Styela clava: one gene and its partners. The main gene of each other region encodes a partner of the protein of the gene in region 3 in a complex. Links are inferred from orthologs where the notes say so. Each region holds a gene or a part of one and is shown on either strand. Other genes may lie near its edges. The genes, in order: pre-mRNA-splicing factor SPF27-like, pre-mRNA-processing factor 17-like and pre-mRNA-splicing factor RBM22-like.

Region 1 (7,611 bases), on a different chromosome or scaffold from region 3:
TCTGCTATCAATAACTTTAAATTTTTATGTAGTTGGTCTTCCCTTATATGTTTTTCTTTGACCTTCAGTTTTGAGAATCCAATCGTTTGTTTCTTAAATTTTTCTTTGCACTCATCCCACCAATCCTGGATATAGCTAAAATTTCCCCTTTCTCACAACATATTATTATACGTGTTTGTAATTACTTCGTGGTAATTCTCGTTGTCCAAGTGAAGTAAATTTAACCGCCAAATTCCGCTTCCCCATCCTGTTTTTTGAGGTGTTTTAAGTATAAGTATAGGAATTATATTAGAGGGTATTGATATTATGTTTTATATTATGAATGAGCGGGTCCAAATTATTTTGATGATAAATTCTATCGATTCGTCGACTTTGATTTCCAGTAGTGCACGTGTATACTATTTTATTTGGTTTATTATATCTATACGTATCAAGTATATTGCTGTCTGAGATCGTCTTTCTGAACAGTTTCTCGGCATGGGTGAGTTTAAAGTTGTTTTTGTTTAGTACATCTCTTTCGTCCAATACTATATTAAAATCTCCTATGACAATCAATTTATGTTTGACACTATTTATTGTTATAATGTCATCGAGTTTACCATAAAAATCAGTTTGGCTCGTTCCCCGTTCCGAGAGCGCATATACATTTAAGATCATAATATCTCCTTTATCATGATGCAAAATTAAACTTTCCATCCTATGTTCCATAAATTTAGTATACTTTGAAACTCTTATGTCATCTCTCTTTTTTATCATTATACCAGTTCCCTGCTTCATGTACTTTATGGCTGAGTCAACAGCACTTGTGTTGCAAAATATATTGTATCCGAGCTTATCCGCCCATCGTTGTATTTGTTCTTCATCAATTTTATGCAGTTCTTGTAAGCATAAAATATCAGCGCTATATTTGGTTAACCAATTAGATAAACTATTCAATTTTTTCCAAGTCCATTTATGTTTATGGTTGTTATTTTAATTTTACTCGATTCATTTATGGTTTGACACTATTTATTGTTATAATGTCATCGAGTTTGTATCCGAGCTTATCCGCCCATCGTTGTATTTGTTTTTCATCAATTTTATGCAGTTCTTGTAAGCATAAAATATCAGGGCTATATTTGGTTAACCAATTAGATAAACTATTCAATTTTTTCCAAGTCCATTTATGTTTATGGTTGTTATTTTAATTTTACTCATTGTATTAAATCGAAATTAAAAATGGGCGGGGTTCGAATTGTCGGTCTCAGGTATGATTTTTTTATTAAGTTCCGTTTTTTTTTTTCAGAAATCTTGAGTTCTAATCGTTCCCACGAGCATTGGGTGTTTTGACAATGCTATATCGTGGGCGGGGGTTGGTATCTTGTTTTGTTTTCTTTGAAGTTCTAACTTGGGAGTTATCTTTCATGGATAAATTGTCTGGGCTAGTTCCGGTTCTTTTTTGTCGAGATGGTGATTCGACAAAGCTTATATTATGAGCCTTAGGAAGCGGTGATGATTGAAAAGCCGTATTCAGATTCTCTCGCGTTGGCGAGCGAATGATGGCGGTTTTCCTCCGAGTCCATCTTTGTGCTCTGGGGCTGAATAGATTTTCCAATGAGCCTTTATCAATTAGGGCGGGGACTTCTTCTTTCTCTTTCGCATCAGTTTTGCTTAGAGGTGATTGTTCGATTTCTTCCGACCATTGAGTCGGAGGGACTGGTTGTTCTAGAGGGATTTCTGGTGTTTGTGGAACCATTTCGGTTTCCTGATTTGTTTCCAATGGGACAATTTGTACAATAGGCGATATTACTTGGGAAATTTCAAACGGGTTCGTTGAAGATACTTGTTCTGCGGTTTTGTTTTCTTCAATCTCGGGATCTTCCCTGTGAATTTCGGTCTGTGTGACTACTTTTTTCAACAGCGGTGCTTTAACTGAACTAAAACCTTTTAGTACGTATGGAGTTTCTGGCTTTCCGGATTTTAGTTTGGCGTTTGTCATTTCAATCGAAGCTGGTTGTGCGACATTTTCTTTTTCTTTTTGTATTGTTTTTTTCGGGGACTTTCCTACGGGACAATTTCTCTTCATGTGCCCTTCTTTTTGGCACTTACGGCATCGTATTTCATTTTCACAGTTGCCCTGCGTATGCCCCTTCTCTAAACATTTGGTGCAAGAAGGAACGTAAAGTTCCCTCGAGACGAAGGTTCTACATCCTATTCCGTCAATTGACATGAATGTCGGGAGCTTTTCGATGTCGAGTTCTTTTATTTGGAACGTGGTGGACCGTTATATATTTTTGTTCCTTTGTGAAAAACCCTCGTTGCTGAGACAATTTTGCCAACTCCCTTATTGCTCATGGTTTCGATCGCCTTTGCGAGAGATGTTTTGTCCGCAATTCCTCTTATTGATACCCGGATAGGTGGTGGTGAGGGGAAAGAGAACTTCAATGACAGATCTGGGGTGTTCACTTCACCCTTGGTTGAATTCATCAGTTCGGTTCCACAACTCTCTTGGCTATCTTCCAGAGGATGAAATGACAAAACCCACTTGTTCTTCGCTATTTCCCAAAGACCACTTATTTGATCCGTGTAACCTCCTAGTTGTGGGGATTCTTTAAATGCAGTGTAGAGCTCCGAGAATTCTACTTCTTTTGATGTTTCCACAAACAGAGTTCTTCGTCTGGTCATCGTCGATTCTTCATCTCCAGTTCTTGCTGCAGCAGCTGCGTAGGACATCTTGAATATCCGAGAGGTATGATGGTAAATCTCTTATGCTCGTATATCCAATTGAGTAAGTCCAGTGAATCGCAGGCAGTATATAATCCGGTAGTTGACTCGATGCTTAAGAACAGTTCAATCAATTCCCTTATAAAACAGTTACAAGATCTTCGGCCGAAAGCTTAGTGCTCGGGTCGTTCACAAGACCGTCGCTTCTTACTAAAGACAGGCCCTTAAAAAATCGCTGAGAAGGGCCTCTCACGGAATGCGTGCAGAGCGGGGCTGTGAACCCAAAACGACTCTGTTTCGGTGTATTAAGGTGCGCCAAAACGAGCCTTAATACAACCAAATACTCCAAAATAACTCATTCTCCTTCAGTAAGTAGGCTAGCGTTGCGCTACACAGCAACAACAGTAACGAGAACATGTTCGTGTATTATGCTGGATGGATAAAAAGCGCGACTGTCCCGCCTAAAGCGGGACGTATGGTAAACCTACGTGGGAGGGAAAATACCACAATGCTTGCTAGATATGTCGGCAAGTTGTGTCGGTGACAAAAGAATATGATTTAGGACGGAATTTTAGAATATTGTGAGCAATGAGCATTTTCCAAAGTTAAGATTTTGCTTTGAAAATTTTATTGATGTTCGAAAGCATTTCATTTGTGTAAGATATTTTTCCGTTATGAAGAGTTTGAAATCTTACACTAACGTTGATAAATGACAAATGCTGATTAATGTGTTTGTACAATAAAAGTGTTTATTTTGTATTTAACTGTTTACCCATTCTTGGCATTGTTGTGGCCCGCGAACATTGCAAAAATCAGTGGCGGCGCGTCAACAGGGCCAACCTGTTTTTTCGGTATAATAGAAAATATTCGAAAAATACCTCAATATCGGTTGCACAGACTGTCTACACTAGCCATATTCTCCCGACAAGGTTCATTTTTCGCTCGCAAAGCCTTCGCCGAACGTTGACGGGGCGACGCCGATTTTGCCCCGGTTGCTCATTGTATATCGTATTCTCTCTTTTATCTTCCACTCGCCGCGTTTGTCTCGTTTGTTTTCTGTTTCTTCGTTTTTGTCGCTTGTTTCGCTATTTGAATCAGTTAGAGACCTTTAGTCCATTTGCTTTCGATTTTCCACATTCCTTTTGAGCTCCTCACTTCTTTCCGGCTTCGCATTTCTTAGCCTTAGAACTCATAATGAATAAGGTTGATGCACTACTTCGCACTCCGTTTTCGCAGCTGCCGCTGGAACAAAAATTAGAGGTACAACGTCTTGGGCCTTATCAACCAAAAAATTGTTCACTGGAACAATCCCATGACGGAGAAAAGCGTCGGCGTACATTCTGCGCAGAAACTTGGTATAAAAAACACGAATGGTTGTGTTACAGCGAGGACAAAAATGCACTTTTTTGTTTTCATTGCCTACTTTTTGCTACCGCCTGCGACTCACGTTGGTGTAAATTTGATTTTAAAGATCTTAAACATCTTTCCGAGCGTGCCAGGGATCATCAATCTTCTATGGAGCATCTGGACAATGCAGTAAAATACCGAACATTCGGAAATGTTAATATTGCAGCACAGTTGGATGAAGGACGCGCGGTTTCTATTCGTCAGCACAACCAAAACGTCGAGAAAAACCGCCATGTTCTCGGTCGATTGATAGATGTTTTGAAGTTCATTGGTTGTCACGAGCTGTCCCTCAGTGGGCACGATGAACGGGCTGGCTCTTCTAATAGAGGGGTATTCTTGGATATAGTGGAATACACCGCATCCCTAGATACAGTATTGAGAGATCATCTTGATGCCGCAACTGTTTCGAAAGGGACATCTAAGGATATCCAAAATGATTTGCTCGACTCAATGTATAAAATTTATTTACAACATTTGGCTCTGGAAATTGAGAATTGCCAGTTCCTTTCGATTCAGTCTGACGAGACAACTGACATCACGTGCGTTTCCCAACTGGCTGTGATTTTTCGGTTTGTGAAAGATGGTAAACCTACCGAGAGATTTCACAGCTTTGTACCAATCGTTGATCGCACGGCTTGCGGGATATCGGCTGTACTGAAAAAGTGTTACAGCCTTACAACGCGAAGTCAAAATTGATAGCTCAAACTTATGACGGCGCGGCAGTCATGAGTGGGTCGAAACATGGTGTTCAAGTTTATATAAAAGAAGACTTTCCTCATGCGCATTTTTTACATTGTTATGCACACCAATTTAACCTCGTTATTAAAAATATGTGTCTTGATACCCCTCTCGTCCGTATATTTTTTGCAAATGTTTCGGGGTTTTCTTCATTTTTTTCCGTTTCGCCGAAGCGCTCTGACCTCCTTCGCCAGATATGTAGCCGCCGTCTCCCAGCTTGTGCACCAACACGTTGGAACTTCCAATCACGCGTGGTGCAGGGTGTGTCCGAAATTAGGTCTGAGCTCATTGAGTGTTTCAATGGCATTCAGAGCTCTCCGGTTTGGGACGAACGCTCTGTGAGGGAGGTGGCAGGTCTAAAGCGTCTGCTAGAAGATGGTGAGTTTTCATTTTTTCTCGCTTTTTTCTCCACAATATTCTATCACGTGGATGTATTATACGGCGCATTGCAGTCAAGGCTAATGGATGGAGCGTCTGTGCAGTCGTGTATTTCAGACTTCTGCGATACTGTATCTCGTATCCGGGAAACAATAAAATACGACGACACATGGAGTGCTTCTTTACGCCGCGGGCAAACAACGCAGCGTTTGATTTTGTCTGCAAAGGAATGCTGTGACATTCTGGTGAATCAAATAGGCGATCGTCTGCGCACTGAACACCTTGCCGCGTTCTATTTGATGAACCCCAAAAATTTTTCAAAATTTGCACGTCAATTTCCCATCCATTTGTTGGCTACTGTCTCCAAATTTTACCCCATGATCAACGTGGGTAAATTGGAAAATGATTTGCGATGTATATACACCAATCAAACTTTTTTGAACATCACATCAACTTGCGCGCTCTATGGGTTCCTCATAGATAACACTCTAGTAACTACCTTTGCGGCGTCTGCAAAATTTCTGGACATCATTTTGACGACGCCTATTTCTTCCGCCGACGCAGAGCGAACATTCAGCACGCTGAAGCGTATTAAAACGTATCTCAGAAACACAATGAAGCAAGATAGATTAAATTCCTTGGCTGTTTTATCCATTCACAGAGACGTTATTTCTGGGATGCATGACTTTAATCAGCGCGTTATTGAGTATTTTGCTTCCAAGAAACCGCGGCGTGTTGCATATATGTTCAAGCAGTAGAAGTCTAGCAGAATATATATCTATGAGTGAGCGACGCATGTCCTTATCTTTGCATTACCTTTCCTTTCATAGTAACGTTTTAAACCTTATTTTAGGTTTTGTCTGCTTTCCCGAAGTTTCTGTTAATATGTCATTGTATTTATCTGGGTAAATATTGCCTTTCCTTTTGAAAGAGGTTTCAAAATAAACTATGTCTATATTTATTAATCCCTTGACTTGGACCGGTTTTAAAGACACTTCCTTATCGTTAAAAATTGTCGGTTTTGCCGATTGGTTGTTACCGATGGAATGGTTTTTATACTCATAAAATGATGGGAGAACTTACAGCGCTCATCCTGTCCCCGTAGATGGGGGTGACTTGGTGCCGCAGTAGCTTGCCCCGGTTGTCAAAATGACCACGCGCCGCCACTGATTGAGAGATCATCTTGATGCCGCAACTGTTTCGAAAGGGACATCTAAGGATATCCAAAATGATTTGCTCGACTCAATGTATAAAATTTATTTACAACATTTGGCTCTGGAAATTGAGAATTGCCAGTTCCTTTCGATTCAGTCTGACGAGACAACTGACATCACGTGCGTTTCCCAACTGGCTGTGACTTTTCGGTTTGTGAAACATGGTAAACCTACCGAGAGATTTCACAGCTTTGTACCAATCGTTGATCGCACGGCTTGCGGGATATCGGCTGTACTGAAAGAAGTGTTACAGCCTTACAACGCGAAGTCAAAATTGATAGCTCAAACTTATGACGGCGCGGCAGTCATGAGTGGGTCGAAACATGGTGTTCAAGTTTATATAAAAGAAGACTTTCCTCATGCGCATTTTTTACATTGTTATGCACACCAATTTAACCTCGTTATTAAAAATATGTGTCTTGATACCCCTCTCGTCCGTATATTTTTTGCAAATGTTTCGGGGTTTTCTTCATTTTTTTCCGTTTCGCCGAAGCGCTCTGACCTCCTTCGCCAGATATGTAGCCGCCGTCTCCCAGCTTGTGCACCAACACGTTGGAACTTCCAATCACGCGTGGTGCAGAGTGTGTCCGAAATTAGGTCTGAGCTCATTGAGTGTTTCAATGGCATTCAGAGCTCTCCGGTTTGGGACGAACGCTCTGTGAGGGAGGTGGCAGGTCTAAAGCGTCTGCTAGAAGATGGTGAGTTTTCATTTTTTCTCGCTTTTTTCTCCACAATATTCTATCACGTGGATGTATTATACGGCGCATTGCAGTCAAGGCTGATGGATAAAGCGTCTGTGCAGTCGTGTATTTCAGACTTCTGCGATACTGTATCTCGTATCCGGGAAACAATAAAATACGACGACACATGGAGTGCTTCTTTACGCCGCGGGCAAACAACGCAGCGTTTGATTTTGTCTGCAAAGGAATGCTGTGACATTCTGGTGAATCAAATAGGCGATCGTCTGCGCACTGAACACCTTGCCGCGTTCTATTTGATGAACCCCAAAAATTTTTCAAAATTTGCACGTCAATTTCCTATCCATTTGTTGGCTACTGTCTCCAAATTTTACCCCATGATCAACGTGGGTAAATTGGAAAATGATTTGCGATGTATATACACCAATCAAACTTTTTTGAACATCACATCAACTTGCGCGCTCTATGGGTTC
Region 2 (8,009 bases), on a different chromosome or scaffold from region 3:
ATTCAAATTTCAGGACACTTTCTTCAAGCCCAATCCAGTATTATGCTCGGTCATTTTCATTGATCAACAACTGCATCCCTTCATTGGCTATATTTCACTGTAATATATTGTGATACACTTACCTGATAATCATTTGGATTTTTGACATGTAATGTTGTCTTTTCTTCGATGGTTGCTTCCTCTGCTTTCTTCCCTCTCTTTTTACGCTTTGCAAGCAGTTCATCGATTTCTATCTGTTCTTCCTGAAATCCATATGCAAATACACATTAGTAATATCACTCTTGTTTTTTTTATTACATGATATATAATATATCACTTGAGAATGTTGAGATGACTTATTGAAACTCACCAAACCCCATTCACCATGTCCTAGTGATTTAAACCATACCAAAATAACTGTTTACAAACAAATCATTTTATCAGGCACAATAGCTATAATATGCACGTTGGCTTAGCTAGTTTGTGGCCGCAAGATGAAAACTCAAGTTAAAACCCAAGCTCATCTCAATCAGCGTCTAAAATAAATAAATTTAGTAGGCTATGTCGAAAACTGCTTTTTTTATATAATGCTTCTTATCTATTAATTCACTGCATATTCAAGTCAATGCTAGGCAATTAAAAGTTACCTCAGAAGGTTTGGAAATTTTAACATCGTCAACAAATCCACCCCAAGGTCCAAGAAATCCGTCAATATCCTCAGGATTATCACATTTCTGTCTCTTCCTTTTATCAGCCTCTCTTGTTTTGATTTTTTCAAAAACAGTTCTCTCTTTTTCATTGTTTTTGGCCATCAGTTCCTCACCAACATCAGCTGGAAAAAATAATATCCGATTGAGGAATGACGAAAAAATTAGTTAAAAACAAAACTAAAAAAAATTATTCGAACAAAATTATGTTATCAGATTCTGTGTCGGGAATTACTGTTTTCCTTTCGGTATAGTTGGAATTTGGATATTGAAAATTTGAATGGCTTAGTTTCGAATATGACATAAATTCAAATTTGCTGCAAGATGGACTTATTAAAATGATTCAAAAGTAATGACATGGGAGTATTTAAAATACAGGGTGGCCCAGAAAGAAAAGAACTATAAATTTATTAATTACTTCAACGTAAATGAAGCAAATATATATAATACTTTTGTTTGTGTATGATTGCACCCAAAAGTTTCAGTAATCATAGAAGTTATAAAAAAAACATAAAAACATACCAATCACTGTCTTGTTTCCTGCTGTTTCATCAATTCCAGATTCATCAATGGAAGGATCGACTGCATAGCCTGAAGAAAGATTGTAATGCCATATTCAGATATATTTAGAAAATTAAGTGAGAACATAATAAGAATAGAAAATTATTAGCAATAAAGATTGACTTATCAACAGGTATTTTATATACTCTTTATGAACAAGTTAATAAATGAGAAAGCACTCATAATTTGGAACAGATAGATACAGCTGGTATTTAGATTTTTATGAAACAATGTTTCTGTTTTGACTTATTGAAAACTATTAACAGGGTTGGGTTGTATGCTCGAATGGCTTCATAATAAAAATTTGTTATGCGAGTAGCTTGATCACCAAAAGTCTGCAATCTCTGATGCATGAATAAGGTAATTCCACATAACCCGATGCAGCGTTATCCAGGGAGAGGAAGAAATAAAAAGTTTCAAGGGAAGTAAAGTCTTGAATTTATAGAAAAGGTGGTTGGGCACCACTGACCTAATGTGACCGATTTTCCTCCAATGTTAGTATATAGAACAGTAGTGTATCACCATACCATAACTATAAAACGTCTTTCTCTGATTTTCAAACTGAAATTTATCGACATGAGCTTCTTGCACAAAGCCTGCTAATGTGTTCTTTTGTGCCAATTGTTGCCTTGTTTTGAATGGATTTGCTGGTCCCTGTAAACAAAATTAATCACATGTTCACCACGAACAAGAAAAGAAGGCTTCAACAATGGAATCTTTAAAGAAATAAAACCTGTTCTGGTGCAAACATCTGTTGATATGTTGGATTGAACATAACCTCCTTATTCGTGACATGATCAATGGCTTTTGTTCCTTGTACATCCTCCTGTGTAGATTAAAGAAGAAGATGCAGTTCTATATTTTAGGATAGGATAGGATTTACATATTTATCCTGGGGGAGAGGAAAGCTGATAAGACGGTGGTGTCCATATGGCACACCACGGCCTCTCGTCCGGCTACCATTCCAAGTCGGGTATGGGATTAGTTATATTGTTTGTTTTCTGAAGCATGGACTTGGTGGTGGAGGAAGCCATAACCGACCAGCAGTTACGTGAACCACCCAACGACGGCGAGGAGTCCAGCAATCCTCTCGCACATAACCATCCCTGCATGGGATTCGAACCTGCGAACCCACGCAGAGTAATTAGAGGTGCGGTGGCGAGCGTATTCCTAACGCTTAGCCCGTTGAGCCACACCGCCGCGCCAATAATATAATATATAATTATTAATAATTTTAATAATATAACTTGTACATGACCATGAGTTTTGAAGAATAACTGAATAATGAAACAAAAGGTTCCAGAAGCTCAGGTTGCCCTGACTAGAGGTGGGCCTAGGGGCAGCCTGTTGTAGGGGACAGCAGAACCAAGCTAGTTCATCTAATTACACATGTTTTTCTCAATGTGCTTGAATTTAATTAAAAGCTGAAATTACGTTATGTAATACGGTACAGTTTTAATTGCAGAATTGACTTGTATCTTACCTTAGTTATAACTTCAGGAGCCGCAACAACCAATTGCATTTTTGAACTCGATGAAGGACCATCTGTGGATTTTAAGTGAAGCGTTGACTCTTCAGAAATAACTTTGCCTGCCGCGATCTCACCATCCGCTGACCCATCACTATCATCTGAATCTGCATATGCAGTTTTCAAAGCGAATATAGCAGCCATTTATCTTTTAAACTGTTAGAAATGTTGTATATCTCAATATCTGTATATATGGGCTTTGGTCTACTAACCCAAAGTGAACATAATTCTGAAACACTAGAAATCTAACCAAAACAACCACAGCTGCATGGACGTTCTCCCGACCTTTGACCCAAGAAAAGTTCTCCCTACACTTCGCCATTGCAAAATTTTAGACGCTTATTTTGAGAGATCGCGCCTACAAATTGTTTGAAGTTTTAAAAGTTTGAAACTATCATTTTCATATAAGAAAGAATTTTGGCGAGATGGGATGCATGCCCGATCATGACTGCAAATCTTCGGCTTATATGTAAATATTTTATTAATTTTATTCTATGTAAATATTTTATTAATTTTCTTTCTTTCCATGAAAACTTAATGTTATTTTTGGACACACCTAAAATATGTTAAAACATATTTGAAGCATTTTTTTATTCATGTTTTTTGATATTAATGTTGGGTGGTAACAGACCCCGATGACCGCATGGTCGTATCGTTGCCACCCAGTCTATACCGAGAACTGTTTCGCTTTTTATTAATTATGTTTTTGTTGTGTATATGTTTTCTGGTGGACAAAGCAAATAAACTCTCTCTCTCTCTTCATATAGCAATATGTCGGGAAATGAGATACTTTGTGGAGTAGGCTAATGCCACGGTTAACGGAACACAAGTTTGCATCTGGGATTACAAAGGCGATGACAGGATGGTGTAGAGTAGACTGTAGATTATCAACTTCTTGCTGGTATAATTTTTGTGGCGATCTTCACTATCATAGGCATTGTATTGGGTTTTCTTGGTGACAGATATAACAGAATCAGAATACTCTTCATAATCATATGTGTACTTATTTGCTCTACAATGACTTTGATGACAGGCTAAATGAGAATTCGTACTGATATAATCTGATATAAACGGGCCAATTCATAACGTTTTAGACATTCATTTCATGGCGTATTATTGTTTTTGTTTTGTGTATCTACTGTTTTTAGGAACATTGGCTTCATTAATTATATGGGCCTACATGTTTACGCGCGTTATTAGTCAGTTAGTGTTTTCCTGATAATTGTTTTTATAATTGTCTGAGCGCAGAATTCACAAGCATTGTTTTGATTTGTTTGTACGTGTCTTGATTTACTGTATCACATTTAATTAAATGCTTCTGGGATGTATTGTCATTATATAGCGATGGTTAGATCTATGATTACATTATGCTTGAGACAGAGAAGAATTTGTCACACCATGCAAAAACACCACAAATTTGATCACTATATATTCCTTGGCCATCAATTCAATTCCACACCAATACCATGCCTAAACATAAAATGCGTGAATACATAAACGAGAATATCGGTCAGAGACCGAAGACTTATCGATCGAAAGTTAGGGTATCCCCAAAACCGCGCTCTTACTCCATATTGACACCTTGTGTCCCATCACTAATTAATTAATAACTCGCTAATTATACGACATAATTCACCCAAAATCAATAGTTGAAGGATAGAATTCAACATAGCTCTTCTGCTCGCCTAGTTGCAATAATTAGTAACCTTGCAGTAACTATATTATACTATCTACAACCCTTATACCCCCAATCAAACATAAAACCATGCATCTATGTTAAGAATGACCTCACATGAAGAAAAACGTGAGAGACATGCGCATTAGGGTTATAAAGCGAACAGCTATTCAAAGAAAATACTTCCAGCTACCTTGTTAAAAAAGAGAAAAAAACAGCACGCATGTCACAGTACCATTTCTTGTGTGCCAGACTAGGTCAGGCTAAGCTACGGTAACATATAACAATTTTAATATAGCTGTCCAACATTCTCATAAAAACAATACAATGTGCAAGTGTGGAGTGAACGAACATCACCAGATGTTGGTTTCCAAATAGTAATTTTTAACATTTGGAAACTAAATGAAACTTAACTTGTTTTTGAAAAGATTTTTTGGACTTAACGTCTTCAAGTTTAAGGGAAGAGTATTTCATTTAAGGGGAGAGAATTCCAGTAAGTGCTAGGCCTTGTGTTACTTAATATACCCGCTTGCTCCATTAAGTAGGCTGGGTTATAGCTCCTTTACCCTTTTAAAACAATACGCGTTGAGGCTTGTCATTTGCTTTTGTCTGCTACTCGTGTACTGCTCTTGTTTTATCATTTTCAACCAAGCCATGAATTTTGCAAAACTTACTCTTCATCCTGTACTATTTTGATGAGCCAGTAATAATCTCTTTCAACAAGAGATATTCGTCGAATATCAACTCTCCCACCCAAACGCTTGACTCTGGGCACGCCATCTTGGCGTACATCGTATGCTTGTAATAATATGTCATATTTACACTGTTTTGTTGTGTTCCGTTCTCATTGAGCTCATGTTGTCCTATTTACAAGTTTCGCAGTTGCTCTATAGTATCCAATAACTTATAATTGTGGGTTTCTGGCATCTCATAGTTTAATTCGATTTTTTTTGTTCTTCCTCTGTTTTCTTTGATTGTTTTAACCGAGTAAATGTTTAATATTCCATTGTCAATGTGGTACTCCGTAGTTTATTTCAAATTTTTTTTGTTTCGTCTTGTACGATTATGTTCAATTTAGTAATTTTTATTATTGACATGTTCTATCGATATATTTGTTGCCTGAATTCGGATGCAAGCTGTCGACTAGATGACTCATTTAATCTTTCGCGAATAGCCGATATCCGTTTATGTAATTTGTGACATGTAGGCCTAGATCAGGGGTCACCAAACTACGGCCCGCGGGCCGAATCCGGCCCGCGACGTCATTTTATCCGGCCCGCGGCGTCATTTTATCAGGTCCGCAATAACGCGCAAAAATGGCTAAATTTTTTTCCAAGAAAGATTTTCACGAGCATCGTCTTCCTTGTTTATTTCGTAACATTGGCCAATCGGCAAGATGCAGAAAATTGACGTAATAATAGGCCTTTCCGCATCCGCTCATACACTTTTGTCACCCTGACAGATTTTCAGTCGTGGTTGTAAACAAAACTTCGTTTTTGCGACTTTGAATGCTACCAGTACGTAACGTTTTCTGAGATACACTTGTACACTCGTGGCGCTTGCTTTCGACGAAACTGTTTGTTTTTCGTGCTAAAATAAACGTCGAATGCTCATTTTGTGCTAACAGTACTGTAATCCCTCGCGTACTGCTCCAATTTCAAAAGCCACACTAACTTTTGTACTGCTTTAATGCGGATATTCATGTAGGTATGTTACAAAAAAATTGAAGTTCATCCGATTTAAATAAAAACTGCTCCAGTGGAAAGATCTGAGTAAAAATAGAAAACAATACCAAGTTTGGAATAAACGGTCAAGAAATAACGGAGATATCGGAATTTTAGTACCGCCCGACAGCCAATTTTTTCCATAATGATTGTATTACTTTTTTGATAAGAACTGTACTGAATATGGAAAAATAACACATATCAATCACTAATCTTTCGATGTGCGTCACATCTATGGTATATTGAGACTATTTCAGGATTTTATTCTGGCAACGGTCATTGACACCGCCGGAAGATCGTCGCAAATAAACGCTGGAGTTGTTCATGATAGTTTGACAGTGGTTCATTGTGGGTAATAATTAACGATGTTCTGATTGTACGAAATTCATAAAAATTGGTAAGTATCAAGTTAGACAAGAAATACACACGTCCATATAAATTTTATTGGTGTCCATAGACAATATCATTAATTTTCACTACGTATAACTGGAGCGTAATTTTTGAAAGCGTCGAATGTTGGGAAATCTGTGCGCTAATGAAAAAATTCAAATACCAGATAATAGTTGTTTATTTTATCTAAAATATGTCAAAATTTCATAGAAATCCAAGCTACAGCAGGCAGTCGTTTTTATGAGCGGTATTTCAACACGGCGTAACGGTACTTAGCAGACGTGATGCGTACATTTTTTGCCGCGGATTTTGTAACAATTCTAATTCATGACAGCAACGTTTTGATAACAGCTAAACTCAGGATAGTTGTCTAGATATAGAAATCTTGTTAATTTTTTTTCCTAGGATGTTCTCGATCTATAATCTGCGATATTCCCAACATTTGTGAATTTATTGTATTGCATTGACAAAAATATTCATCCGGCCCGTTTCAACACAATTTGAGTCATACCCGGCCCGCGGTCAAAAAAGTTTGGTGACCCCTGGCCTAGATTATTGATTTCTCTTCCTTATAGAATATTGGTTTTGCACAACAAAAATAATTGTTTTCATTTAGGGCGAGGCCGCTCAAAATCATTAGGTGAAAAAGTCTTTACATACATGACTTGCAATACACATTTTGTGTAGCTGATCAATAAATCAAACCATCTTTCTTTCAGCAATATAAAAAGGAAAACAACTTGCATGCAAATACATTTATAATACAATTAAGTAGAAAAAAGGCCATATATCGTAGCTATGTCATCCCACTTTCAAGTGGTCATATGACGTTTGCGTTTTGGCAAAATGCTCATTTATTTACAAGTTGCGAATTTGACTGTGATGTTTCATGCTGTTGTGGTTACAGTGCTCCGTCTCCGTCCAAATCTAAGAAAGCTACGGGCGACAGTACTTGTACTGCTCGTTCTACGTCTTCCGTTGTCGACAGCATATTTCATATTTCGTTTTTCCAGTCTTCTATGAATCGCTCTTCTCACCTAATCACAAAAAACACTTCAAGCATAAAAGGCAACAAACAAATAATAAAGCGGTTTCTTACTAAATCAGATTACCTCTCCGTTGAAAAGGCAATATACTATGAATATTGCAATGCCTTGCGTTGAATTGAGAATTATGAAAAGCATTGTGAACACTTGAGAGAAATGAGCAAGAAATCCACACACCCACGGAACGCCCAGTATGGGAAGAAGTACTAGAGCGCCTGTAAATAATAAAAAAGTAAAATAAAAACAAGTCAAATTTCATTGCTGTGGTAGAACAGGCCTACAATCCTAAATGCGCCAATCAACTCTGCGAGATCGGAATTAAGTTCTGTCGATCGCAGTAGAAACGCATCAACATTCGCATATATCGGTGTATAAATACTGTGAAAGTAATCTTACCTT
Region 3 (7,789 bases):
ACTGTCAAGAAAAAGACTTTACCCATTGAAGACTGGAAAGGGCATAAAATGCAACCTTCATTCAAAGCTGAAACCGTCCGGTTTGCTTATGAAGATTGGACGCCAAGAGAAGGCGACGTATTCGTTGTGGCCTATCCTAAAACAGGTATAAAATTTATAGTAGTCTTGTATTATTAAATATTTTTGGGATACCATAGATCTTGTGGGATGTAGGTCTTGTTTGCGAAAAAAGGTAACGACTAGTTTTAACATTAATCGTCTAAACTCTAATTAATATAAATTTTTATATTTATCCAACTATTAGTTGTTGCGCATCTTTTGCGTCGCAGACCATAGTCTAGGGACAAAACATATTGTTTGGATCGGACAGTCAAGATTAGATCTCCTGCCGTATTTGATAGTACATTAACATAGTTACCCAATTGATTATATATAAGCACGTCGGGGTTTGTATTAAAAAGGGGCGAGAGACAAGTTGCTTGGCCGAATTCTCTATGGGTTTTTAAAATATCCACATTGAAGCCAGTCATCTACCCATCTCTTATTACAGGACTAAATTGGACAAACGAAATTGTAAAACAATTGTTATACTTTGGACAAGAACGAGACTACAGAATAATGTCAAGTCAGCCAATGGTCATGAGCCTTATTGAAGGAGGGTGGTGTAAGCTATGTTTTCATTTTTGAATCTCATTCGAGAACCATGATTACAATCTAATCATCTTTAATTACTATTCTCTAATAAATGACAAGGTTTTAGTTGAATATTTGATTCAATTTGCTATCTTTGTGATAATCGACCAATGGCCGAACTAAAGTTGCCTACGGCTCTTTATCGTTTATAATTTTGTCTTTGCAGCTGAAAAATACAAAATATTTGATGCAATGCCATTAAAAAAAAGAATATTATGCACACATTTACCTGCACCAGTGATAAATGTCGACAAAATCAAGAAAGTCAACGCGAAGGTAAACATTTCAAAAAATGTATTTCACCCATCTACTCAAATACGATATGTTATGTTTTAGTTTAAAGAGGCGTCCTTACACAGTATACTCTTTTATTCCACATTTTAGTAAAATCAGTTGTTATATATATATATATATTATTAGGGAGTGTTTCATATATTTTGGTTCTGAATTAAAAACACCCGTTTTGTGCCGAACTACTATATATATATACTATTTGTTTTTTATATTTACCCTGGGCCTGGAAAATTTTTGTCAAGAAAGAGTTCCATCTATTATAAACCATTTCGCTGCTCTCCGAAAATTTCAAGTTTACTGTTTCTTCTTAGGTTGTCTACGTGTTGCGCAATCCCAAAGATCAAGCAGTGTCCTGGTTTAACTTCATTCCAAAGTTGCCGAATCTACAAATCGAACCGCTAGATAAATTATTTGGATCAGACTGGGCTACTTTTCTGGACAGCTTTATTGCGGGTATATATTTAACATTTTTATCTTTCCATTTGAGTAGTATATGACTTTACTTTTTATCGGCGACTTTGTCAAGCATGTATGTATATATATGTGTGTGTGTGTTTGTGGGATTAGTGTGTGTGATTTCTTCAAAAAATATATGCACGATCGTGTCATTCCTGTGTGCCTGAGATACACTTTTACCGGAATTCAGAGAACATTTTTTTTTTATATTTAGGCAAAATGCCCATCGGTATGCGTGACGGGGAATGGTATTTGGACCATATTTTAGGATGGCTACAGCATAGAGACGATAAGAATGTGATGTTTTTCTATTACGAAGATATGAAACAGGTATGTACAAAAATGATATCTCATAACAACACACCTTCTGCCATTTTATCATTTATTGCTATATGTTTAAGTTTATATATATATATATATCAAATGTAATAGAATCCGGTAAAAGAATTTAGCAGAATGGCGAAGTTTTTGGATTTAAATCTCACTGAAGAAAACATACGAGAAATTGCCGAGAAAGTTGCCTTTTCGAGCATGAAAAAATCAGATCAAAAAAGCGGAAAAGAAAATGTTGATCAAAATTTGAGAAATCAACTTGGAATACTTAGAAAAGGTGAGGCGTAAATTCATAGCAGAGTCTGCTTTAATGCCAGCACACAGTTGTAGTTCCAAACAGTTGTTCTCGCCATTTTAAAAATCTTTTAAATCAACGCGTTTTCAATTTTTTTTTAATTGTTGAATTGTTAATTAAGAAGTTTATGAGCGTGAGAAATGTGTTATTCTCTTTTTCTTTTAAGTATTCGTTGACTTTGTTTTGACGAAATATTAGATATATATACCAAATTTTTGTGCAAGCTAAGTTCTAGAATAATTTAAAATATCGTATATATAATATAAAACGTTTTTTCTATCAGGTGAAGTTGGTGGTTGGAAAGACCATTTCACGGTTGCTCAATCTGAACAGATGGACAAAGAAGTGAAGAACAAACTTGGAAATACTGATATAAAATTCAAATACACTTTATAGTTAGATAGAAAAAAGTTGAAAATGAAGCACGTTTAAATACAAGTTATTAATATACCTAAATATATGAAATCATGTGTTTTCCTTCTATAGCTGGTTCGACAATATTATATGCTATATACGTTTGGAGAAGCAAGCAAATTCGGCATGTTTTAACACCGCTTTTGTACGCCCTCAATACTTTGTGAATGTCAAAATCATAGCAGTTAACAAATAAAAGTGTGATTTTTCAACTTTGGCATAAACTCTTGATCACAGCGCAGTATATGGGTTCGAGGTCAGATGTGACTGCGTTGAATGCTTAAAACCAGGCAACGCAAAGGCGTGGGAAAAATTGAAGAAATGTCTGTCCCATGACTGTTTATTTAAACCAGGGGTGGGCATCATACGGCCCGCGGTCCAGGTCCAGCCCGCGACGAGATTTTGACTAGCCCGCTGACTGTATCCAACCACACTATGTAATGTGATCCGACGCATCATTCCTGAAAGTTGCCGATCGCTCTACTCCCACCGCACTGTCAGTGCGAGCTGGTGAAACAAACAATTGCTTTAGTGAACAAACAATTGCGTTAGCACACTTGTTAAACAAACAATATAAGGTCAAAGCAGGGAGCGTTGTAAACATTCCCTAGCACTGTTATCAGTCATATTTAAATTCTAAATATAAATAGATTTTAGAAATTAGATTTTATAGATATATATTAGGTTTTATTGACCATGGAATATCCCAAGAAACGTACAGTTGACAGAGAGTGTCGAGCATTTAATAAAGATTGGATACCGAAGTATTTTTTGTAAGAATCCGACCAATCGAGGACTTCATTTTCCCACATCTGGCCCGCCGACTAGAAAAGTTGCCCACACCGGATTTAAACCTTTGGATAGTTGGATAGATATTGCTAGTCTTATAGTTTTGCATTTTATATATAGCATTGTTATATATGTAAACAATTTGAATAAAATATAAGCTTTTGAAGCGTTCAAAACAGACCTGCTAAGTGCTAATTGACCTGAATTTTTTCAGTTGGGTTTGAGTTCGAATGGAAAGTATGTCACGACTCACGAATCTGATTTAATCTGGTGAAATGTTTGCTCGCCAATACACAGGACAACCTTTGAGATTCAGTAAACTAGATTTGTTTTATTGTACAAAGCAACCTACCAAATAGTAAAAATGTAACGTCATCTCTACTATCATACAACACACAAAGCCAAATTATAATTTGCAATAAGGTGTTGTTATTAAAGTTAATGGGGACCAGGTGCAAGATGTAAATTTTATCGTATTGTGATCTTATTGAGAGTACCCTGCGCATATGATGGCCCTTCACCGTAATCTCCAGATAGCGATGTTGGTTGGTTAATTCGTTAAAGCCATGGTCACCGACAACAACTGTTACGCGAAATTAAAATCCCCGATTTTGGTAACACAGAAACTTAATATTATTAAGTTACAGAAAGATAATATTATTCATATTTTCCCCAGTAGAAAGGACAGTTTATAAGACATTTTCTTTCACATTTACATTCACGTACAATAACGGTCAATCTTATACATAATACAATATATTGAATATTGGGAATACGATACAATATAAGGAATACAATATAATGACCTCGTGGTCGTATCGCCCCCCGAGGTCTGTACCAAAAACTTCTTAGTATTTTTTATTGTTGCAATGTTCGTTTTCTGGTTGATGAACAATAAATTTTCTCTCTTTCTCTTAATCATGTGATTGGCGGTGGTTTCTCGCTCGTGAAAAGAGGGATACGATAAACATTTAAATAGATGAGAGCAACTAGAGCCCCTCGGTCGCTTACCAGAAAAAAATAAGTCCAAATGTTGCATCACCATTAAATTCTTACTGGTTAGGCACTGATGGACATGAAAATGCCCAAATACTACACGCGGATATCTATTTTTGGATAAATAACTTATGTCTCCGATGTAGTTGTGCTGGTATCCGACTGTTTTTTTTTCAGCTTTTCACTTCTCTCATTTTGGTTCGCGTATACAATATTGTTCAATTCGATATATTTGTAACCATGCGATACTTGAATAGTTAAAATAATATTTAGTCCGTGTTTTTTTCCTGGTTTTATTTTGGTCGAAGTATTTTAGTCTCCGGTGCTAAAATTGATAAAGCTGGTTGTAATGTGACTCCGTACACTAATTTGCTCCAGTGGTTAACGCGAAAATAAGCTTACGTTCGTTTTTCTTGATCGGTTTATCTTTACGTCTCACAGTCTTTAAGATCCGAATAGTCTATTTGCATTCTGCCTGGTACCGGTACCGGTATTACTTTTTGGTTTGGAGGTATAACAATTGAAGTCGCGATCTAAGATAGGGAAACACTTGAATATCAAGAATGGCGACATCTTTAGGAGCTAACCGATATAATCGTCAAAACTGGGAAGAATCGGTGAGTTGTCAAAATCATTCTGTCAAGTTTATGACTTGATATTCATAGCACCCATACCTGCAAACAATTGAATAAGCTTAATACGGAATAAATATAGAATTAGGAATAAAGCTATAAATACATGAAATAGCTTGGAAAGGTTGAGAAATATACAATTGGACAACCAGAATCAGAACAAAATTATTTTTAATTTTTGCCTGACCTCAAATCGCAGAATCATTTATTTTTGTTTGACTTCTGACATGTATGAACCGAATGATAATAATAAGTATAATTATACAAGTTGATACAGAAATGTCCTAATAAATTGTAGTGTGATGAATATTGAAACTGAAATTTAAATCTTCACTTTCTGACTTTAGGATTTCCCGATTCTATGCCAGACATGCCTTGGAGACAATCCATACATCAGAATGGTAAGTTTTTGTGTTGCCATCGACAGAATTGCTTGTTGTAGTCGTATGTACCGTATTTATTCAATTATAACGCGCACTCGTGTATACTGGTATAACGCGCACCTTTAAATTTTGAATGAAAATTGGTATAAAATTCTTTTTTTTATTTTTTCTCTACTAACTACTGGTAAGCACATAAGGTAACAACTCACAGCATGAACAAAAATTTATTAAAAGCACACAGTAATTCAAAACTCTTCAAAATCGGATTCAGTCTCTGACTTTTGTGCAATTTTTGTTTTCTGGCGTAGTGCAAGTCCATACCTTCTCATAAACTTTTGTGCCCAACCATTAGATGCTTTAAAGGTTGAATCTTTGCAAATCTTTTGTGCACGGAGTCTAATATGGAGCGAAGTGACGATGTACCCACTAGATCTTTGATCAACTATCCAATCATAAAGCTCCTTCTCCAACTCTGGGTACCGGGCTTGTCTCCCTCGCCGCGCTTTCTTTGTTTTGTTCATATCTTTTGAACAACTTTCTGCTTTCTCCAATCTCTGACATTTGTCTCTGGTACATTGAATTCTCTAGAAGCTTTTCTATTTCCATGAGTTTCCGCATAATCAACAACCTCCAGTTTGAATGCAGCCCTATATGCAGAACGTTTTTGTCTTGCCATAATAGATAATGGGTAATATATAATGGGTATCTACAGTACAGTACGATAATGGCAAATAAATATTCTCAACGCAGCGGGAATGTCAAACACATGCTGAGCTGTCGCATGTGCGTGTGCTTGCACGAAATCGAACGCTTGCACGAATGTCAAACGCACGCTGAGCTGTCGCATGTGCGTGTGCTTGCACGAAATCGTCCTGCATTGGAATGTGCATGCGCGAGCGCACGCACGTTTCAGATGTTTAAAACCACATTTTCAATACCGCATTTCTCAGACCTCGTGTATAACGCGCAGCATTGATTTTTGCCTAAAATTCAGTTCAAAATTTTGCGCGTTATAATCGAATAAATACGGTATGTAGCTTATTGTCATGATTCAGTGATTATTTCAATTTTTTTAAATTGAAACATTTCACTTCACTGATTAAAATCCTATAAACAACTAAGTGTAACTGTGTTGCTATCTAATCTACCTCTAGTGACTTTAATAGCTGAAAAATATTCTGATAAGATTTAAGACAAACCAAATTTTTCGATGAAAAAATCTGCAATTATCGGTTAAAAAATCTTAAATTATTACAGCAGTTAACGGATAAAAAATGCTAGTGTCCACAATTTGGACATCCCTGCTATAGATGAATTCAATACAAATATACTTTTCCATACTTTATATACTAATGAGAAGAAATCAACTGTTTTTGTTTTTCATAGACTAAGGAAAAATTTGGCAAAGAATGTAAAATTTGTGATCGACCGTTCACAATATTCCGATGGTGTCCGGGTGCCAGGATGAGATTTAAGAAAACTGAAGTCTGTCAAACTTGTTCAAAACTCAAAAATATCTGCCAAACTTGCCTACTGGATCTCGAATATGGTAAGGATTACGATAAACAAAATTTGTCTAGTTGTATATCTATAAGTTAGTATTAGTACTCTTGAATAAACACTTAAATTTATAAGCCTTATTTTAAATGCATACCGGTAATTATTTCCAACAAGGTAAAGAGATGTTTTTATGCTCGGGCCATGTGATGAAAGAAATGCACTGCATTCCATTAAAACAAATAACCTCCGATATTTTTGCAAAATCTTAGACACATAGCGCGTGTGAAATTTTCGAGGATGTGTAAGCCTATTCAACTAACTACTAATATATTTCATGAATGAAATACGGTTCAAGTAAACAAACGAGAAATGAGATTTTTGGGATGTAGCAGCCATGTTGAAAAATTGGCTACGGCATACTTATGTCAAATTCAATTTCAAAATTGGGACATGCTCTGCTTTTCAGGCAAATGTTTACATTAATTTTCAGGTTTGCCCGTTCAAGTTCGAGACCATGCACTGGGACTGATTGACGATCTTCCCAAATCAGACGTAAACAAAGAATTTTATACTCAAAATATGGAAAGAGAGGTAAATATTATTTCAAGTTTGGTTATAAAATATTTATACACTATTTTCTCAAAATGAGCTTCAGAAATAAATGTTCAAATTTAAACAGTTGAAAAATGCTTGTCTGAAGAAGTTCGACCTCGTATAAATGAAACGTTACAGACATACATTTATGCTAGTGTGCAGCAAGACTCTTGAATTAAATTAAATATTTAAACTGCGAAAAAACACAGTATGACTCTCACATTGCGTCAAATAAAATAGTAATGATTTCAATTTATATTCAACAGTAATCATGTAACTACCCTGAAAAAGGTATATTCTAAGTGGTTCCCAACTAGGATTTTGATCTCGGGAAGGAATTACAGAATATAATTTTGTATTATTATTTAGTTAATACTAGCCTAGCCTATTATTGTAATGCATATTTATCC

Evidence for each region.
Region 1: pre-mRNA-splicing factor RBM22-like (region 3) and pre-mRNA-splicing factor SPF27-like share a complex: the UniProt entries of both Homo sapiens proteins name them as parts of the postcatalytic spliceosome P complex. The link is inferred for Styela clava from reciprocal best matches to the Homo sapiens genes RBM22 and BCAS2.
Region 2: pre-mRNA-splicing factor RBM22-like (region 3) and pre-mRNA-processing factor 17-like share a complex: the UniProt entries of both Homo sapiens proteins name them as parts of the postcatalytic spliceosome P complex. The link is inferred for Styela clava from reciprocal best matches to the Homo sapiens genes RBM22 and CDC40.

The regions. Positions count from the first base shown.
Region 1 is NC_135258.1:22,062,416-22,070,026, forward strand, and holds the start of pre-mRNA-splicing factor SPF27-like, read right to left. Parts: upstream 3,045-7,611; 5' UTR 3,030-3,044; intron 1-3,029. UniProt on the Homo sapiens protein: Required for pre-mRNA splicing as component of the activated spliceosome. Component of the PRP19-CDC5L complex that forms an integral part of the spliceosome and is required for activating pre-mRNA splicing.
Region 2 is NC_135252.1:3,245,581-3,253,589, reverse strand, and holds the start of pre-mRNA-processing factor 17-like, read right to left. Parts: upstream 3,065-8,009; 5' UTR 2,920-3,064; coding exon 2,731-2,919; intron 2,074-2,730; coding exon 1,981-2,073; intron 1,902-1,980; coding exon 1,775-1,901; intron 1,278-1,774; coding exon 1,209-1,277; intron 812-1,208; coding exon 627-811; intron 243-626; coding exon 123-242; intron 1-122. Other genes in the region: uncharacterized protein LOC120342711, read right to left, coding at 7,452-7,601, 7,677-7,825, 8,007-8,009. UniProt on the Homo sapiens protein: Required for pre-mRNA splicing as component of the activated spliceosome. Plays an important role in embryonic brain development; this function does not require proline isomerization.
Region 3 is NC_135260.1:8,230,112-8,237,900, forward strand, and holds the start of pre-mRNA-splicing factor RBM22-like, read left to right. Parts: upstream 1-4,691; 5' UTR 4,692-4,833; coding exon 4,834-4,887; intron 4,888-5,249; coding exon 5,250-5,303; intron 5,304-6,671; coding exon 6,672-6,834; intron 6,835-7,275; coding exon 7,276-7,376; intron 7,377-7,789. Other genes in the region: cytosolic sulfotransferase 3-like, read left to right, coding at 1-145, 551-664, 860-969, 1,299-1,440, 1,658-1,773, 1,876-2,053, 2,355-2,467. UniProt on the Homo sapiens protein: Required for pre-mRNA splicing as component of the activated spliceosome. Involved in the first step of pre-mRNA splicing.